4 linked regions of the Coturnix japonica genome follow. The protein of the gene in region 3 interacts with the protein of the main gene of each other region in a biochemical or structural test. Links are inferred from orthologs where the notes say so. Each region holds a gene or a part of one and is shown on either strand. Other genes may lie near its edges. The genes, in order: FOS, MAPK11, ATF2 and MAPK13.

The links.
Region 1: the proteins of ATF2 (region 3) and FOS form a complex in vitro, tested with the Homo sapiens proteins (3 studies listed by BioGRID and IntAct, with this or other methods). The link is inferred for Coturnix japonica from reciprocal best matches to the Homo sapiens genes ATF2 and FOS.
Region 2: of the proteins of ATF2 (region 3) and MAPK11, one has a biochemical effect on the other in vitro, tested with the Homo sapiens proteins (4 studies listed by BioGRID and IntAct). The link is inferred for Coturnix japonica from reciprocal best matches to the Homo sapiens genes ATF2 and MAPK11.
Region 4: of the proteins of ATF2 (region 3) and MAPK13, one has a biochemical effect on the other in vitro, tested with the Homo sapiens proteins (2 studies listed by BioGRID and IntAct). The link is inferred for Coturnix japonica from reciprocal best matches to the Homo sapiens genes ATF2 and MAPK13.

Annotation. Positions count from the first base shown.
Region 1 is NC_029520.1:34,666,788-34,671,620, forward strand, and holds FOS (proto-oncogene c-Fos), read left to right. Parts: upstream 1-1,737; 5' UTR 1,738-1,898; coding exon 1,899-2,039; intron 2,040-2,470; coding exon 2,471-2,719; intron 2,720-2,836; coding exon 2,837-2,944; intron 2,945-3,055; coding exon 3,056-3,661; 3' UTR 3,662-4,422; downstream 4,423-4,833. UniProt on the Homo sapiens protein: Nuclear phosphoprotein which forms a tight but non-covalently linked complex with the JUN/AP-1 transcription factor. In the heterodimer, FOS and JUN/AP-1 basic regions each seems to interact with symmetrical DNA half sites.
Region 2 is NC_029516.1:18,209,457-18,213,165, reverse strand, and holds part of MAPK11 (mitogen-activated protein kinase 11), read left to right. Parts: intron 1-945; coding exon 946-1,119; intron 1,120-3,709. UniProt on the Homo sapiens protein: Serine/threonine kinase which acts as an essential component of the MAP kinase signal transduction pathway.
Region 3 is NC_029522.1:14,845,733-14,850,741, forward strand, and holds the start of ATF2 (cyclic AMP-dependent transcription factor ATF-2), read left to right. Parts: upstream 1-1,448; 5' UTR 1,449-1,562; intron 1,563-1,703; exon of another isoform or gene 1,704-1,818; intron 1,819-4,621; exon of another isoform or gene 4,622-4,733; intron 4,734-4,994; 5' UTR 4,995-5,009. UniProt on the Homo sapiens protein: Transcriptional activator which regulates the transcription of various genes, including those involved in anti-apoptosis, cell growth, and DNA damage response.
Region 4 is NC_029541.1:544,712-549,654, forward strand, and holds the start of MAPK13 (mitogen-activated protein kinase 13), read left to right. Parts: upstream 1-1,772; 5' UTR 1,773-3,004; coding exon 3,005-3,123; intron 3,124-4,943. UniProt on the Homo sapiens protein: Serine/threonine kinase which acts as an essential component of the MAP kinase signal transduction pathway.

The sequences.
Region 1 (4,833 bases), on a different chromosome or scaffold from region 3:
CCTGTGCTACCACTTGCTTCCTCTTGGTTTTTTTTCACACTAGCTGTGGAGACATGGTGCGCACCCCGTGTCTGGAGCAAATAACAAACCCACGTCATGTGTTTTCGGTTTCTCTGTTCCCTTGCCTCAGCGGCACGTGCTGGAGATGCACAGCAGCACCTGGGCACTTTCCGTTTGATACAAACACGGTGCCCTGGGTCACCGGTAGAGATGGCAACAACACGCTGTTTGCACGGGCACCCAAAAACATTCGGGGCTGTCGGTGGAGCTTTCACTCCACTTTCACCTGCTTTCCAGAAACTTCCTTCTGGGTGCAGTTTGGCCAGAGGGACACCGGGCGGTTTGTGGCGCGTTGCCCCTGCTCCTGCCCGGGACGTGGCAGCGATGCTGGGGTCACGGCATCGCCTGTTTGCGGCGCGTCCCTCCGGCAGCAGCGCCGAGGGCGGCTCTCCGAGCTGCGGCCAGAGCGAGGGGCGGGGGGTCCGGGCCGGTCCCATGGAGGGAGCAGCCCTGGCAGGCCCGGAGCCGGTGAGAGCAGCGCCGGCCCATGGGCCCCTCGGCCGGGAACGGCGGAGCCGTGCGCTGCGGCAGTCCTTGGCTGTCCCCTCGGCGCTGACGGGCAGCGCAGAAATAGCAGCTGGCCCAGTTCTCCCGCCCCCGTGGCCCAGATCTCTAAGAACGGAGGTTGTTCGCGCGGCAACAGCGGCAGCGGCATCAGGAGCCGCATTTAGACTGTGAGCTCAAAGAGCGGGAGAGGCTGCCAGCAGGATCCCAGCCTGCACGGGTGACGCTCCTGCTTGGAGACTGCGCTGCGGGCTCTGTTTGTTGCTGTAAACACGCTGCCGCTGCAGCTTCCCTGTTACTATCTATAGCCGCGATCTCTTGGCTCCCGTGCGAGGCGAGGCTGCGGTCTGGCCGCCGGCTCTGCCTGCCCCGAGCCAGGGCTGCCGACATCCCCGCCGTGGGTGGGTGTCTCCGGGCTTCGCCGCGACGGGGATCAAAACAAAACCCAAACTGGAGGAAAGGACGGGCCTCGCCCTCGCCGCTCCCCCCGCGCCCCCCGCCCGTGCCCCCGTCCCGACGCCCGGGGGGCTTCCCCGAGAGCTGCCCTGCCCCGGGCCGCCCCGCACTCCTTCCCGGCCCTCCGTGTGCGTGACCCCGCCGGGGGGACGCGTCCCCGCCGCGCTGAGCACCCTCCCGCCGCGGGGCAAAGGGGACGAAGGGCGCCGCGCCCCTCCGCACCCCACGCGTGTCCGCGGCCGGCTCCCATAGCACGAAGCCCCGCCGGGCCGCTCGGGGCGGGGGCTGCCGGCCGCGGGGGAGCGCCGCGAGGGGGGGTCGGGGCGGCCCCGTCCCACCGCGTCCCGTCCCGTCCCGCGCCGCACTTGGCCGCAGCCTGGAGCGCTTCCCGTCAGTCACGCCCCCTCGCACAGGATGTATCCCATATAAGGATATCTGCGTCAGTGGGTTCCCGAGACCGGCCGTACCACTCCGCGAGGGGGGGGTTATCCCGGAGCGGCTCCTCCCGCCCGTCCCGCCGCGCTCCCCTCGCCCCGCCGCGCCTCCTCCGCCCCGCGGTGCCGTCGTTCCCCGCACTTGGAGGCGGAGCGGGGCGGGCGGCGGGGCCGGGAGAGCGGGGCGAGGCGGACGCGGGCAGAGCGGCCCCCCCCGCGAGCGGGCGTGGTGCGTCCCGCGTGACGTGTGCGATTCACGCGGAGCAGGATATAAAGGGTTGGCGCCGAGCGATACTCCAGCGGCAGAGGCAGCTCCGGCAGCGGAGACAGAGACGCGCGGCGCGGAGCGGATACAGGGACGCAGCCGGCCCCTCTTTGCGTTCTGCCGCGAGGCGCTCCGCTATAGCACCGCAAGGCCCCCGCACGGCCACGCAAACAGCCGACATGATGTACCAGGGCTTCGCCGGGGAGTACGAGGCGCCCTCCTCCCGCTGCAGCAGCGCTTCCCCGGCCGGGGACAGCCTCACCTACTACCCGTCCCCGGCGGACTCCTTTTCCAGCATGGGTTCCCCCGTCAACTCGCAGGTGAGGGGCCGTTGCGCGGCCGCCGCGGGGCTGGGCTCTGGGGGTGCTGGGGGGAGATGGGTGCGGGGGGCGCGCCTCGGGCCGGGTCGGGGCGATGCGGGACCCGAGGGGGGCGGGTGGCTTCAACCGGGCCGGGGACAGAGTGGGGAGCGGCCGCGACGCCGCCGCGGGGCGGGCGGGGGGAGCCGGGGTCCGGGCTGCGCGTTGCGGCGGGTGTGTAAAGCGGCTTCATTGATAAAACGCGAGTTCATTGAGGAGACTCCGGAGCGGCGCCTGCGTCAGCGCGGACGTCAGAGATATTTATATCGGGCCGCTCTCGTGCGGAGCGGCGCTGGCGGCGCGGCCCCGGGGGCGGCGGGGAGCGGCTCGGAGGGGAGTGTCGGCCGCAGCCCCCCGCTCACCGAACCCCCCCCCCACTTTATGTCCCGCAGGATTTCTGCACCGACCTGGCCGTGTCCAGCGCCAACTTTGTACCCACCGTGACGGCCATCTCCACCAGTCCCGACCTGCAGTGGCTGGTGCAGCCCACCCTCATCTCCTCGGTCGCCCCCTCCCAGAACCGCGGGCACCCCTACGGCGTGCCGCCGCCCGCTCCCCCCGCCGCCTATTCCCGCCCCGCCGTGCTGAAGGCGCCGGGCGGCCGCGGGCAAAGCATCGGACGAAGGGGCAAAGTCGAGCAGGTGAGCGGGGCTAAGGGGAAGAGGAGGGGGGTGGAAATGGGGGGCCGGGAGAGGGGCCGGGGCGCGGGGAAAGGCGGGGGGTCTGACGGACGCGCTGACCGCCCTCTGTGTCCGCAGCTGTCCCCGGAGGAGGAGGAAAAGAGGAGGATCCGCCGGGAGAGGAACAAGATGGCAGCGGCCAAGTGCCGCAACCGGCGGCGGGAGCTGACCGACACGCTGCAGGCGGTGAGTGCCGCCCCGGGATCCCGGGGGCTGCGGGGCGGGGACGGGACCCCGCGGGTGGGGGCGGGCGGGTGAGGTTGGCTCCGGCTGACGGCCCGATCTGTGCTTCCGCAGGAGACCGACCAGCTGGAGGAGGAGAAGTCCGCTCTGCAGGCGGAGATCGCCAACCTGCTGAAGGAGAAGGAGAAGCTGGAGTTCATCCTGGCGGCGCACCGGCCCGCCTGCAAGATGCCCGAGGAGCTGCGCTTCTCCGAGGAGCTGGCGGCCGCCACCGCGCTGGACCTGGGCGCACCCAGCCCCGCCGCGGCCGAGGAGACCTTCGCCCTGCCGCTAATGACCGAGGCGCCGCCGGCCGTGCCGCCCAAGGAGCCCAGCGGCAGCGGGCTGGAGCTGAAGGCCGAGCCCTTCGACGAGCTGCTTTTCTCCACGGGGCCGCGGGAGGCCTCCCGCTCCGTGCCTGACATGGACCTGCCCGGAGCCTCCTCCTTCTACGCGTCGGACTGGGAGCCGCTGGGCGCCGGGAGCAGCGGGGAGCTGGAGCCCCTCTGCACCCCCGTGGTGACCTGCACCCCGTGCCCCAGCACCTACACCTCCACCTTCGTCTTCACCTACCCCGAGGCGGACGCCTTCCCCAGCTGTGCTGCCGCACACCGGAAGGGCAGCAGCAGCAACGAGCCGTCGTCTGACTCCCTCAGCTCCCCGACCCTGCTGGCCTTGTGAGGGGCTCGCCCCGCACTGACTGACCTGCCGGGCCCCCTCCCCTGCCCACGCACCCCCACGGACTCACCACGCCCCCCGGGCCTGGGGAGGGCACTGCCGCCGCCACCCCCACCCCATCCATCTGAGGCCCGGGGCCTGATGGAGTGCCTGGGCCCATACCTCCTCCAGAGATGTAGCAAACCGCATGGAGTTTGTCTTGTCCCCAACGGCCCATCTGTGAGAGCTGGTAGTCTGTAGCATGTCCCACATGGCTGGGTTGGTGACTCCCCCCCTCCTTAGTATCACTAGCATTAACTAATTAATCCCTTGGTTTTAAATGATTGGAATTAACCTGGTGCTGGGTATCTCCGACTTGTATCTAGTGCAGCTGATTAACAATAACTACTGTGTTCCTGGCAATATCGTGTTCTTAGCAACGACCCATCTTATGTGGGGGGGGAAAGAGACTCTATTTTATTTTCTAGTAGGTAGATGAATAGCTATATCCATGTACTGTAGTTCTACATCGATGTTCATTGTAACTTTACTGATCATGCGTTGTTGAGGTGGTCTGAATGTTCTGACATAAGTTTTCCATGAAAACGTTTTTATTGTGTTTTTAATTTATTTATTAAGATGGATTCTCAGATATTTATATTTTTATTTTATTTTTTTCTACCTTGAGGTCTTTTTTGACATGTGGAAAGTGAATTTGGATGAAACTTAAGCATTGTTTGCTTATTATTGTTCAGAGACATTGTCAATAAAAGCATTTAAGTTGAGTGCTGGTGCTGTCCTCACTTTACCTTTTGCGCTACTCCCTCTGACCCCAGTGGGGCTCCCTGAACTCTACTTGGGGTTGGGCTTTACCGAAATCTGACTGCCGTAAGCGTAGGGTGCGTTGGGGTGGGAAAACCATTAAGTGCAGATCTGTCATTGCCCTGATGTGTTAGTCAGCCCTGGCTGTGCCTATGCCCTTCCCACCCGCTGGTGGGGCCACCCCTCCCCTGACCTTCCGGCTTCCGTGGGCTGGTGCACCTCTGTGTGTTGCCTGCCGTGGCCTTTCTGTGATAAACCAGAGGCGTAGGAGGGGTCTCCCCCCTGAACTGCCCGGGCCATCTCTGTGCTGGGATCTGCTCTGTCACTTGCATGTGGCTGGCAGCCCAATTTCTTCCTTCATAGGGAGGGGTGGG
Region 2 (3,709 bases), on a different chromosome or scaffold from region 3:
CGTTGTAATGGAAAATTCAGTGGGTGAAAACAGTCTGTGGGTGAAAAGCAAAAGCAGGCGATATATAGGAGGGGTGCATAAAAACTGTCACAGGATCTGGACTAGAGGCATCACTTCTGGCTCAGGAAGGCCAGGAGCTGTGAATTGCTGGCAAGGAGGAGAACACGCCAGGAAATAGAGCTGTTTGAATGCTCCTTTTGAGTATTATTTCCTAAGAATTTATGAACCGTTGTTGGACACAGGATACTGGGCTAGACTGGCCAATGGTCTGATCTGGCACAGCTGTTATTGTGTTTAATCAATTGGATCTGCCTGTGCAAAAGAGATTTTTCAATGAATCGTTCATTGTGGCAAGGCGAAGAAGATGCTCAGTCACCTGAAACATCTTGCTACACTGCCTAGTTTGTTTCACCTGGTGCACATTCAAGAGTTGTAAAGAGGGAAATATTTTGAGTTAAGATGGGAATTATTTATATTTGTCGAAATACAGTTTTATTTTTACAAATACAAGTATATTCTAATAATCTGCAGCTGTTCCCTTTAAACCCATTTACTTGGTGGTAGGCCTCTTGGTGCTTTTGTTACCTGGTCTGATGGGACCTTGTTAAGCACCAGATGCACAACATGGGGGATTTAACTTGAAGCACACGGATGTTTTCAGGGTGAAGGCTGTGAATGTCTAATGAGGTGAACCAGATTTCAGATAGATTATCATGAACTGCATTGCGCTCCACAAGCAAACCAGAAGCTTCTTCCAACTATGAGAGTTCTACTTGCAGTATAAAATCTCTAAAAATTGTTATATTGCTTAAATTCTGTGGGTATTTTTCCCAATAATGTTAACTGAGCATAAGGTGAGAACAAATTGTATGTAAACAGTTGCCTTCTCTTCCACTTCTAGATGGTCCCTTCTGGTTTTGATCCTAGTTTCTCTTTTTCCCATAGCGGTAGACCTTCTTGAGAAGATGCTGATATTGGACAGTGATAAAAGAATCACTGCCTCGGCAGCGCTTGCACACCCATACTTTGTGCAGTATCACGATCCAGATGACGAACCTGAGGCCGAGCTCTATGATGAGTCAATAGAGAATAAAGAGCGAACCATAGAAGAATGGAAAGGTAACAGATAACTGCACATAGGAGTTAATGTGGTCAGCAGAACAAAACCTGGCTTCGGAAACAGTATTTCTCTGTTTTGGACCAGAGCAGTTTTAACTCTTCAGGGATGCAAGGACAGTCCATATGTGTTTGTGTGAGTAGAGAGGTGGAAGGGCTGGTAGTTTCTCCCTGGATTTTGCTCCCTTCTTCCATTCTTCCTCTAACAACACCTGACTAGGTTTCCTATAGCAAGTTTAACCTTAACTGAAAGCTGACACTAGTTACCATGTAACCACTCATTTCATCTTCCTTTCAATCTCCTAGGCCAGATCCTCAGCTGAAGTAACAGTCTTAGGGCATCTGACATTTTTTGGGGTTCTGGCCTCACGTTCTTCAGAAGAAGTGAAAAATTGCTATGTACACATGTATTTTACTAATCCTTCTTGATATAGGCAGCTAATTGTGAATAGATAAAGCATGCTGTTGATCCTGTTTGAGGTGTGAACTGATGGTTTTACTTTGGGGTGACAAAACCCCAAACTTGAAAGAAATACTGCAACGTTTTTTCAGTAGTTAATTTCATGCTTGCAACATGATCATATTGCAGTGTAGCATCACAGAAATAGTGTGGCTAAACAGTAAGTTTGCAAATACACTGAAAAGCACAGTCCAATTTCATCATTGTCCAATGGGGATATAGCATAAGCTAAAGCATCCTTACTCAACATTCTAAATTGAGAAATGTTCTAGAAAACTAACTCTTCCTGTTTATTAATAAAGCCCTCTCCTTGGCTTAAGCTCATCATTATGTAATCTATAAAATAAATACTTTTCTTTTTCTGCTTATGTATTCTATAACTTGTTCCCCAGATTAGTTTGATCAAATATATGAGCACAGTACCTAGTGTTATGGTGAACATTACTGACCTCCTGGACCTTCCTCATGTCCTTGCGCTGACTTTCTGCATTCTGTGCCACGTTTTATCCTGGGTATTGAGGAGGTTGACTACAGCAAACACGCCTCAGAGAGATACAAAATAGGTCATGGGTAAAGCAGTACAGTAAAGCAGCCTCCTAGAGTCCTGAAAAGGTTTTCTAACATCCTAGAAGGGTCTATAGAAAAAGTGAGGATTGAGTGGCATCAGGGCTCCTTAACCATACTCTGTATGCAAAATCTGGCAGTGAGGAGGTGTGTTCAGTTTGCTTTTGTACTTACCAATGGATGGTTTGCTTTCTGCTGCTTGTTGAGCTGACAGAGTCCTTAACTGGCAAGTTTAACAGTTTCCAATTCAATAAAGCTGATTTCTGTCGGTGGTGAAACATTGTTAAAATAACTTAAGAACAGTCTTAGCTTGACTTCGAACTGACAAATTGGAGGTGAATTCCATAGGAGGGGCAGTGTGTCCTACAGCAGTGCCGTATTTATTACACCGCTGTGCTTTGGGAACTACAGATGAAATTCCTTCTTTATACAGGAAAAAAGAATTTCAAGACTATCCTGGCATGAAACGTGCAGCTCTTCCTCCTGGCCACATTCTTAGCTTGGGAAAGTAAATATTTTCAAGCACCATATGGGCCAGATTTAATAAGGTGACATTAAAGGTCACAGTTTGCATAAAATGTTTGAATTGTTAATGAAATATTGACCCATTTTTCTCCAGACATCAGTGCCATATTTCTCTTTTTCTGTTCAAATTAAAAGTGGTGCTTGATCCCAAGGGGCACTGAGCAGCCAAAGTAAAATGAGATTTCAGACACTTTGTGTTACACGTTGGGCACTTAAGAATTTCCTTGACCTCTGTTGCACAGCTGAGGTTTGCAGCCCAAGCTCATAGATTTTCTTCTGACATGTTTAATCAGTTAGAAGATATTTCAAAATGCAGAGGCCAAGAGAATGCCATTCAGAGTTGAACGCTACGCACTATCGCTCCTTCGCTGCTGCTCCAGTTTCACATATCTCAGCATAACATCTGTACTTTCAGCTAACTAGGTGACAGGAGAACAGAGGAAAGAGCTTCATAAGCAGGCAGTTCACAGGCAGCAGCATAATTTATAATACAGTCCCAGGCACCTGATCCGTGAGGGCACTACCTTACTGACTTCAGCCAGGAGCTCTCTGACATACCTGGCTGCCTGTGACCAGGTGCTCTTTAAATGCTGCAGATCAAGCACTGAGTCACCCAACAAATCCTTCAGCCTCAGGGCTCTGTATGTGGAGTTTCTTCCAGGGGAATCCTTCAATTGTTAGCAAAGCTGCGCAACTGAAGTGTAGCCAAGACCCAGCTGTAGGATTTGTACACCCTTCTTACAGTAATGCTCAGTCCATTTTCATGCTTATTAGCTGTCAGATCCTGAAGTAGCACATAGTTGGCTGTTATTTACGTATGGACTGGATTTGATCCATAAAATACGTTATCTAGCTTGAGAAAATCCATAGGAGGTGGCCACTGATGCGATGCATCATTGCTGCACAAGGCACAAAATATGATGTGAACATGAAAAGATAAAGGGCTCTTCCAAAAGCAGCATAAAATAGCTGTGAACCTGTGTTTCTAGTTAGGCCTCTCTTGAAGAAAGTAGAACTGCTGCTTGCCTGCAAGACAGAAAAAGA
Region 3 (5,009 bases):
ATCCTGTTCCTTGCATTTTTTATCTTTCTTATAAAGTTATGACTTTATTTTGTGGTAATGACGTATATGTAGGACCCTTTAAACAATAACTTCAAGTCAAGCATATAATATTTGTGGCAGTGTCACTTGCTTGATAAAATCAGTATGATTAATCCTAGGAAAATCAAAGGATGCACTGACCAAGTGTGAGAAGTTGTACTTCTGGCCTTGTTCCTTTACCTATTTCACATTTATCCAGAGCTGTTTCTCTGCACAGTTTTGTGTTGTCCTCCCCACTAGATTAGCTGGCACACAGAGTTTTGGCATCTCACGGTACAATAAGCTTAACAATTCTCCAGCAGTGATAAGGAAGCTGTTTGCATCAGTCCCACTACTAATTTTGATCATCCTAGTAGAAGTTTTCTGCTTGGTTCTCCAGGTTGAACTTAACTACTGGTTGAGATTGGTCCGAAGCCAATGGCACATAGACATTATACTCTTACTTAATTACAGTGTTCTTGGCATGGGAGAATGTCCAGCTTTTTGATATAGTAAAGATTTGTCATTAACCTGATGTTTGGAAAACAGTAGGATCCAAGAGTGACAAAATGCTGCACTTCAAGCTTTGCATCTCATGGTTTCTATCTTTTAACAACCTTAATACATTTAAGGTGCTGTCTGCGCTTACAGCAATGTACTGTGTAATGCTGTGCACTAATTGGTTGGGTGGCTTTGAATATTAAATAATAGATCTAATCATTCAACAACGACAAACTGACCTTTGGAAGAAAGCAAACAGGTTTATGAGCTTTGCTTTCCTGCTGTTACGGAATTAAATCCAGGGAGCTATGAGCTGTAAGTAGCCCGTCCTCGGGTATGTGAAGAAACTGGTTGGTGGCTCTGATGTGTGTGATCTGCAGGTAAACTCTTCGCTTTGAGTTTCAATACTACGTGGGTATTCATTCAGCTTAACTCGAACGTAGCATGAAGCTACTTGCTCTGTATGTTCTTCAATGGAAATAGCCATCTTTTCAAGAACTGCTGAACGCAGTCCAGAATTGCTGTTAAGTAATGCCACGTATGGATGAATTGGATCTCACTGTTGGACACATCACGGGCTTCTAAAGCACAGAAACAAACCTGCACGCAGGGAGTTCGCTACCTCATTGGCAATAATGTCCTCATTGACAATAAGGTGAATGATGATTGATAAGTGGGTTTTGAAACATTGAATGATAGGTGGGTGTTCACACCTGAATGATCCCGGGGCGCACAGACTCCCTGTCTCTGTTCCTGCTCCGTGCTGGACCAAAGATTCGTGTCCGTGCCGTGTCCCGTCGGACGTAGCCCGGATCATCCATCCCGTGTTGTACCGCCCCCACACCCGGCCCGGCCTCTCCCGTCCTCACGACGAGCCGCAGCCGCCCCGCCGGCATCGCCCAATGGGCGCCGTCCCCGCCCCCCTGCGCCACGTGACCTGCGTTCCACCGGTCCCGCGGAGATGTCGGCGTTGTTCTCGCGAGATGTGACGGAAGCCTGTGGGGGACCCGGCCGTTCGTGTTTGGCGCGGCCCGCGTTCCCGGGTGAGTTTGTAAACAGGAGCGCGGCTCTGCCGGGCCAGGTGCCGGCTCCGCCCTCCGCGCTGCGCCCGGCTCCGGGCCGCGGGGAGCGCCCCGAGGGCGGAGGGGAGGGAGCGGCCCCGCCGAGGGGTAGGCGGGGGTTCCCGGGAGGCGGTAATATGGCGCCGCGGCTCCGCGCCGCCGCAGCCCCCTCCCCCACCGCGGCCTGCGGCTCCCGCCGCCCCTAGAGCCGGGCAGGAGGACGCCGGAGCCGCCGCAGGTACGGGCCGATCGGATGGGGGCGGCGGGGCGGAGGATGCGTCGGCTTTTCTCTCGCCTCCGGTGGCTGCCCCGGGCTCGGCCTGAGCCCCGGCCCCAAGGAGGCCTCTCCGCGTCCATCCGTGGCTCCGGAGGCCCTCGGGCTGCGCCCAGCGCTCGGGCTTAGCGGTATGGGGGGGGAGGAGGAGGAAGCGAGCGCCTCTTGTGCAGGCAGGGCCGCGGCCTGTGCCTTCAGGGTTGTGCTAATGAAACATCTCCGAAGCTGTCAGAGGATTAAAAGCAAGCAGCGCAGCGCGGGCCTTCAGGCGCTGATGATTGCACGGTGTTTCAGGCACGGATATTTCATGCCCTCGGTGCTGTGTGATTGTGGGTTTGAGGTACAGGTGCTGTTGTGCTGCTGCAGCTTTGTTCGTGCTGCAGCCTTCCTACACCCCTCTGTTTGGAGGGGGTTCCATCAGTGCGTTTCTATGTCTCACCCATTCCTATGTCACTTGTTTGCTTTTCCTTGCTAGTTTCTTCCAGAAATGACCTTTCCCTTCAAATAAAGATGCAGTCACCTGCTTCATAGTAGGATATAAGGCTACTACAGCTGGAAATTGTGAGTCATCCGCTGCTTTGCAAACAGCTAATGCAAAGTGAATTTTCTCCTGCAGTTTTCTCTCCTGCCTTTTAGAATGTGTTTGTCGTCATCTTGTCACACTGTACTCAGAGCTGGGAATCTCTTCTCAAGCTCTTGCTGAGTGTAAAGGCACATAGAGCTGATTACAAAGAAAAAAAGGAGAAAAGCAGGTGTGCCTGAAGTTAACACTGTGTGACTGCTGTGCCTGCATTAGATGCTCTGTTCAACTTTGATTTATAGGATTACAAAAACTTTATGGTCCTTGGTTTCCACTGTGGTAGACGTGTCTTCAGTTGGCTAATGAAACATCAGTTGCTGATGTTAATGGAAGTCTGGTTACAGACATCACTTCAGAGGCATGAACTGGTGAAGTGTGGCAGTCACTTGGGTTCTCTTTTAAGCCCTTATTGAAGCCTTATTGAAAAAAACAAATGTCGTAAACTGCTTTTTGTAGTGCATCCAAAAAAACATGGGGTGAAGCTGCTTACAAAAGAACTTGGTGGTGTGTTTGTTTTACACTTGATAGCACATGCCTACACCCAGTCAGCTGGTTGGGTCTTTGATCTTTCTCATTGTATAGTCATGTTTCCATCCTGACTTCAATTCTAGAAATACAGACATTTTTGGTACATCTTTTTCTAGAAGATTCTTAGCTGTGCAGTGTGTAACATAAGGTTCTTTCAGGTCCTGAGTTAATCTTGCATAACTTTATGAATAATTTTTGTTTTCATGCTACTTCTCTAGTGGTTCTGTGACAGCATTGAGCAGCCTGAAATATGGTGTTCTTTTAATCTTATTAATTAGGGTCCATCTTCTGCCTAAAATGCCTTTCATCAGCTATTCTTTCTCTTCCCCCCACCATTTATCTTTTAAAATTTTTTAAAAGCCTCTTTTACTGTTTTATTTAACTGTTGTTAAACTTTTTTTTAAGACTGGTTTTAGAGGAGTAAACATGATTCAGCTGCATTAACTTCTCTCTGTAATAATGAATAGACTTCAAGTTATCGTATCCTCCTGCATAACTTAAGTATATTTGTTTCAAATCAATAGGGTACACTCTGAGACACTGAATATATCTGGGGGTAGAAATATGAGTCGATACTTTTTAACTATGCTCATATTTTTGTTTCAAGTTGGTGCCATACTGTATCTGATTGATTTTTGTGTCAGTAGCTGCTTAGCAGGAGCTCAACCTCAGAACTTTCCTATTAGCTCTACTTCAGACTGGAGTTTTTCTTTTGTAAGTTAGTGGGAACAATACAGTGTGTTTCTATTTCTGGGTAAATGCCAGTGGCCATTTACCTTGTTGCTTATAGGAAAAAAATACATCACTCTGTTTTAATGAGCTTTGAGAGTGCTTCAGTAGCACACTCCTTGGTATATTTAAGAATTTTAAATCAAACCCTTGGTTATTGTATGGAGTTACGTACTCAAAGGATGCGATCTGTAAAAATGAAGTACCTTTGTTAAGATATTTTTAATTTTAATTTTAAGATATTTTTAATTTGCTGAAAATAAAGTTGCAGAAGACTAGATTTACAATGTCTCTGAGGTTGATGGACAGTAATAAAACTTTCAAACTTAGGTAATTGAGCTGGTGAAGGCGTAAAAGCTAATATCTTGCTAAACAAGTCACAGAGAGATCTCAGGAATATGAAATCCTGTGTATTTGCTCTCTGAGATTCCCTGGCTTTCTACTTGTCTGCTGTAAGAGCTGCATTCACACTGCATAAGCTTCCACTAATCCAAGCCCCTCTGAGAAATATCCAAGCCAGGGAGCTGACATTCGAGCTGTCAGATTCAGTCAGCTGGAACTGTTGGGTCTAGGAACATTTCTTTTATTCCATCAGTGCTCCTGGTTTACCAGAATTGTCCCTTCTTATGTGAAAAGCTTGCTCCTACTGCAGAACCAAAGTGACTTCATTGGTTTGTTTCTGTGCACGTGACTATCTGGCCAGTAGATTTCTTGTTCTCATTTGAAATTGTTAAGTCAATCGTCTTCACTTCTCACACATTTTTCCTCTTATCCAGATGAGATCCCTCTTAGTTATTTGAATTGAGTTCCGTACCTTCCTCTATTTGACTTAGACGTCAGTTACAGACAGGTCACTGACAGCATCAACATTAGGCCTGCTTTTGAAAGAAGAAAGCTTGATGCAACAGGCATTGCCTTCTGCCTCCCCAGAACACTGAGAGAGACCGCGTGACTTCGAGGAAGTGGAACAACTGCTCTTCTAAGCAGTAGAGTGACAGTTTTGAAGAAGAAGCTCCTGTTTTCCTATTGACCAGTTCTTGAGGTTTGCATCCTTTAAACAGCCTATAGTTATCTTCCAGAATCTACTTGCTAGTGATTCTACATCTTTTTTAAGGAGGAACGTTTATATTTTTCCATATTTTTCCTCCTTCAGTCTGTTCATTTTTCACTTTCAGTTCTTTAGGAATGTTAAATTCTGTGGTGACATGACAGAAATGCAGTCAGAACACTTCTGAAAGCGGTCTGTAATAGTGAATATTAATTACACCACTTCTGCTTCACTTTTCTTTGTTTTTGCATACAGGAAACTGAAAAGAAA
Region 4 (4,943 bases), on a different chromosome or scaffold from region 3:
TTCTTTTTTTTACCTTCACAGATAAGAGCTTCTTGGCTGCTTGTTAGCAGGTTGATCTCGGTGTGAGGAAATGGGAGAGGGGAGTGTGTTAGGATACAAACACGACAGAAGTATTGATGTTTTACAGGACTCCATGTGAGTTTAATGCCCAGTTAAGTACTGGCAGGAGGGGCTCTTTCTGTGTTGCTCTGTGCTATTACTGTGCTATGGATCTCAGGATCCTGATTGTAGGCCTTGGGGAGGAGACATTTCTAGACATTTATCAGTTGCAGGTGTCCTGTGCATGCAACACAGCAGCTGTGTATGTGAGGAGAAGGGCTTTGCAGTGTTTTGCATTCTTGTTACTTACGGGATGGAGAGGAACTGTTTGTAGTATTTTTACCACGTGTCTGAAGAGGCAGCACAAAGGGATGGGACACAAGAAAAACGAAGCCATCAATTCTTGCTAGGCTACTTTCCAGTGATCTCTTCAGGTCAAACTGAAGGCTGGGGTGAGGTGAAGAGGGACTTCGTGCTCTGTGATAACGCTCAGTTCAGACCAACAAAATAGCGACAAAACCTCCCTGCTGGACAAGCAGTCCGAGTATTCAAACGGAAAAAAAAAAATAAATGTAGATAGACTCTGTAAACCTACAGCAGGATGATTTTTATCAGCCATTTTATGTGTAGATGCTACAAGTGTGATTCCATGCGGAAATACTGCTCAAGATTTTTATTAATATAGACATTGTGCATCTGTGTGCGAGTGGGAAGCTTTCATTCACAGCCCTGCTTGAGGGAGCTCCTGCCTGCAGTGCGGTGCTGTTCAGCTGCCTGCAGCCTGAACAGGAGGATGCACTTCAAAGAACAGATCTGCTATTTTCTTTCTATCCGTGAGTTTTGTTGAAGTTGGTTATGCCGGATAAGATGTCACAATACCACTGGTTAAAAATAAAACCTATTTTTCAGATCTGCTGTGCTGATGGTTCTTCTGACCCCTTTGGCTAAAGGTGTGATTTTGATGTGAGATGAATTCCTCTCTCGTCGTACAGAATCCCGCGTGGTGGAGGGGTGTGCAGTGCGGCCCAACTGCAGGCCCATGCCCATTTGCCTCCCCCCCCCCCCAGGTACAAACCTGGCCTGGAGTCTGCATGACTGCTGTACAGTGAAAGTACGTGTAGGCTGTGTATATAGTGTACACAATAAATGAGCATTCTGCTCCTTGCCTTGACCTGGGACTTTTCCCTGGTAGCAGAGATTTGCAGCTGTCTGCTGCTTAGAAATGGGTGGGTTTCTGTCTCCAGCTGCCATCCAGTCGGTGGTGGGAGCAGGCGTTGTGACTTGCCATAATGGTGGTTTTCTGACTGCTGTTTGTCCAGCACTGTTCAGTCAGAAGGGCAATCAGGGGTAACTGAATAGAGCTGCGTTCATCACACCAACAGAAGCTGCAGTGCTGGCTGTGATGGAGCTGCAGCTTGTGCTGCTCCCCCTGCAGCACTGCACGGAGGTTGGTTTGAAGAGGCACACAGGGAAAGAGAAAGGTGTTTGCTGTGGTGCAAATGGAGAGAAAGAATCAAATGGTCAGAAAGAATCCTGGATGGAATTTGTCAGTTTTTCTGGGGAGAAGAATCCCAAACCTTCCACATTCCTGAGTTGTGTTTGGTTGCAGTTTATGTTAGTTAGCAAACGACACTAAAATCGGTGAGAAATTAGGGAAAAGTGACTTAGACTAATTCAAAGAAAACAGGAAATCTTAAATTAACTCCTCTTCCAATAGCTGTGCCCCAGATACTCACAGCTCCTGGACAGGTGCTGGCAGCCACGTGCGTGCAGTTGAGCAACAATTCTCCGTGCTCACCAGGTGACAGATGAGTTACATTTGTTTCTGCCGCAGCACTTCTGGCTGTAACTCCTCTTGCTCACGGATGTATTTATAGAACCCAGCCCATTCTGCTTTGTTTCCTTACTATGCTGTTGCTAGAGCCAGGGTTGGTTTGTACGTGTGTGCATAAGTAAAACTGAAATGCTGCCAGCACGCAGACCCTGATGTGCTTTATAGAACTGCAGGCCCTACCACTGCTACCTGGAGAACACCTGTGCCAATTTTAAAGCATGGTGTGGTGGTTGCATGTAAGCAGATAAAAGGAAACCTCCCTAAAACTGCAGTAGTGCATTTCTGTAAGTCCCACCTGTAGGGCAGAGGATGGAGCAAAGCTGAGTGTTGGCAGAGCGTGGCTCCTCAGGCAGAGCTTAGTCACTTCCTCCAGAGGGAGGGTAAACCCTCGGAGCTCCACTGAAGTCAAATCAGAGTGTGAGGTCTGTGCTCAGCAGGGTGGGCTGGGCGCTGCGCGGCGGGACTGACTGCTGCAGAAACGAGGCCGGACCCCTCAGACCCCAACACCTGCAGCTCCCAGGATGATCCCATCTCAGAGCAACTCCTGAGCATCTCACTGCAGTCTCGTAGATGAAGGGAAGCTCAGACAGCCTTCTCTGCGCCGTGTGCTGGGAAACTGTGGAGGAAATTCTGGCTGCTCTCTTGCTCTTCGGTGAATGTAACACCCCAGTGTCTGTCCTGGAGCTCTCCTCTCCCAGCAGGTCCCTGCAGGGCTGACTCGGCACTGTGGCACGGTGACCAGGTGTGACCTCGGTTTCCTGATGCGCCCTTACTCACCCCATCGGCGATCTCACGAGACCCCCGTCAGCCCCATGTGGCACTTGTGGGGCGTCTCTTCTCGCAGTCCCACATGCAGCTGCAGGTGTGTCTGCGTTGTGGCGTCTATCGGAGCACCCAGAAATACCTGCACACAGCCAAGGCGTGTCTGGAAACCTGATGCCTCATCTCCGCCATGTGGAGGCGGAGGGAGGAGGGCTGTGAGACATGTCCCTTCTTGCTCACAACAGCTGAAAGCAGACAAGGCAGCTCACTGTAGCCCTTCTCAGCAGCGCAGGGCATCCCGGTTGCACCCCAGGGGCGCCGCCAGCCGCCGGGACCCTGGGTGGGTGGCAGTCCCGCAGCCACCGGGCGATGAACATCGCAAGGAGAAGAGGCTTCTACAGACAGGAGCTGAACAGAACCATCTGGGAGCTGCCCAGGAGGTACACGTCCCTGCACCCTGTGGGCTCTGGGGCCTACGGTTCTGTCTGGTGAGTGGGGCCTGGGGGAGCAGCGAGGGCTGATGGTGAGAGGTGCCTCAGCACCCTCTGGTCTGATGAGGGTCTTTGTGTGTGCGATGAAGGTAGTTTGTATGTTGCTCGGTCACCCTGAAGGGCTGCTTGAAGAATGGCCCTGTGCCTCCTGCGGTCACCCCGACAGGCAGCAGGGAGAGTCGTGTCTGGCTCAGCCCTGAGGGTGTCCTGCAGGTGGGGATGTCCTCGGGTCAGAGCTTGGGGGATGGATGTGGTTGGCAGGAAGAGGGAAATGCCTGAATATCTGAGAGCTGAAGAGTTGGGCACTGCTGAAACAAACACTGAGCTCTGGGCAGAGCTGTAGCAGCTGATGCTGTCTCATGGGGGAATGGAGCTGGGTGGTACAGCCAGAGCACTGTGTCCAGCTCTGTGTTGTGAGGCAGCAGCCATCTGGGACTTCCCGGGACTTCCCGGAACCAGGGAGCAGCAGAGCTGCTGTTAATCAGTTACTTGGACAAAGGTACCTACAGGGAAAGCGAGCAGAAGAGTCAGATCTCACTTTGTTTACACTGGTGGGTGTGAGGGTGCTGGTGACTCTTAGTGAGGGCAAATCCATTGCAGCCCATTGTCAGTACCCAAGCAGAACCTCACAGCATAACAGGGTGAAAAGAAGAGGGAAGAAGTGTGTCCTCTTTCCTGGATGTTGGGCAAAGCATCTCCTGCTGTCCCAGAGGAATCCCCAAACTCCCTGCCTTTACTGGGGCTCTGTCTGCACTGCAGGATGTGAATGGGGACCAGAGTTTTCCTTCCCCACTTCGCTGAGTGTATGCAGGGTGGGGTCCTGGGATGCTTCTGTGAGCCCCATAATGCTAAACTTGATGTTTTCATATCTACACAGAAAAAAGCAAGAAAAATCCCTCCAAAGTTTTCTCGACTAGCAAAACACCAGTACCCAAACCAGCCCATACTGTGGGAGTCTCAGCTGCTCAGGAAGGGATGGGTTAGAGCGGACTGAGGGGGACGGGGGCTTTGTTATGGGATGGATGGTGCTTGGCAAGGTGGGATTGTGCTGGTTCCTGTACACAGCACAGGAGGAATGCTGTGCAGTTGGGATTTGCTGTCCTCTGCTGGGAACCACTGGGAAGCTTTTCTATCACAGTGTTATTTGGAGCCAACAGCTTTTGCACATCTTTGAACAACCAAGAGGGGCTGAGAAACAAATTGCAGGAGGTCAGCACGGGCCTGTTTCTTTCCCCATTAATTCAGCAGTGACTTGGTAACTGGGGAAGTTTTCTGATGCCCCCAGCCCTGTCCTATGGGTGCGACGTGCCACAATTACCCATAGAACCTTCATGACCTCACCTCGAGGTTGGCCTTGGTGTCATCCTGAGCTTCAGCTGCTCCTTAATCTTTGCTGGGAAGAACACCGTGGGCTCGCCCAGCTGTGTCACATGAGTTACCTCTGGGCTGTGCATTATGGCAAAGGCAAAAGTGGCTCCATCTGTGCTGGGTGGAGTGAAACTCCAGCTCCTAAGTGGAGTGATGGGGTTGGACGTGTGTTCTGCAAGCCCCACGCTGGGAAGGCAGTAAGAGCCAGCGCTTGGAGGCTGGGAAATCTGCCCTGACTTCTGTGTTTGAGTGGTGCCGGATCCTTCCTCTTTGTTCCTTCACAGCTTGGAGAGCTGTGCTGCCCTTCTGCCAGCAGCAGCTAAAGAACGAATGGAACTGAGACAAACCTTTCCATTCCTCTTGAGATATCCTTCAGTGTCACTTCCAGAGCTGATGCAGCCTGGTGTGGCTGTCCCAGTGCTCCCTTTGCTTTTTCCAGCTTGAATATG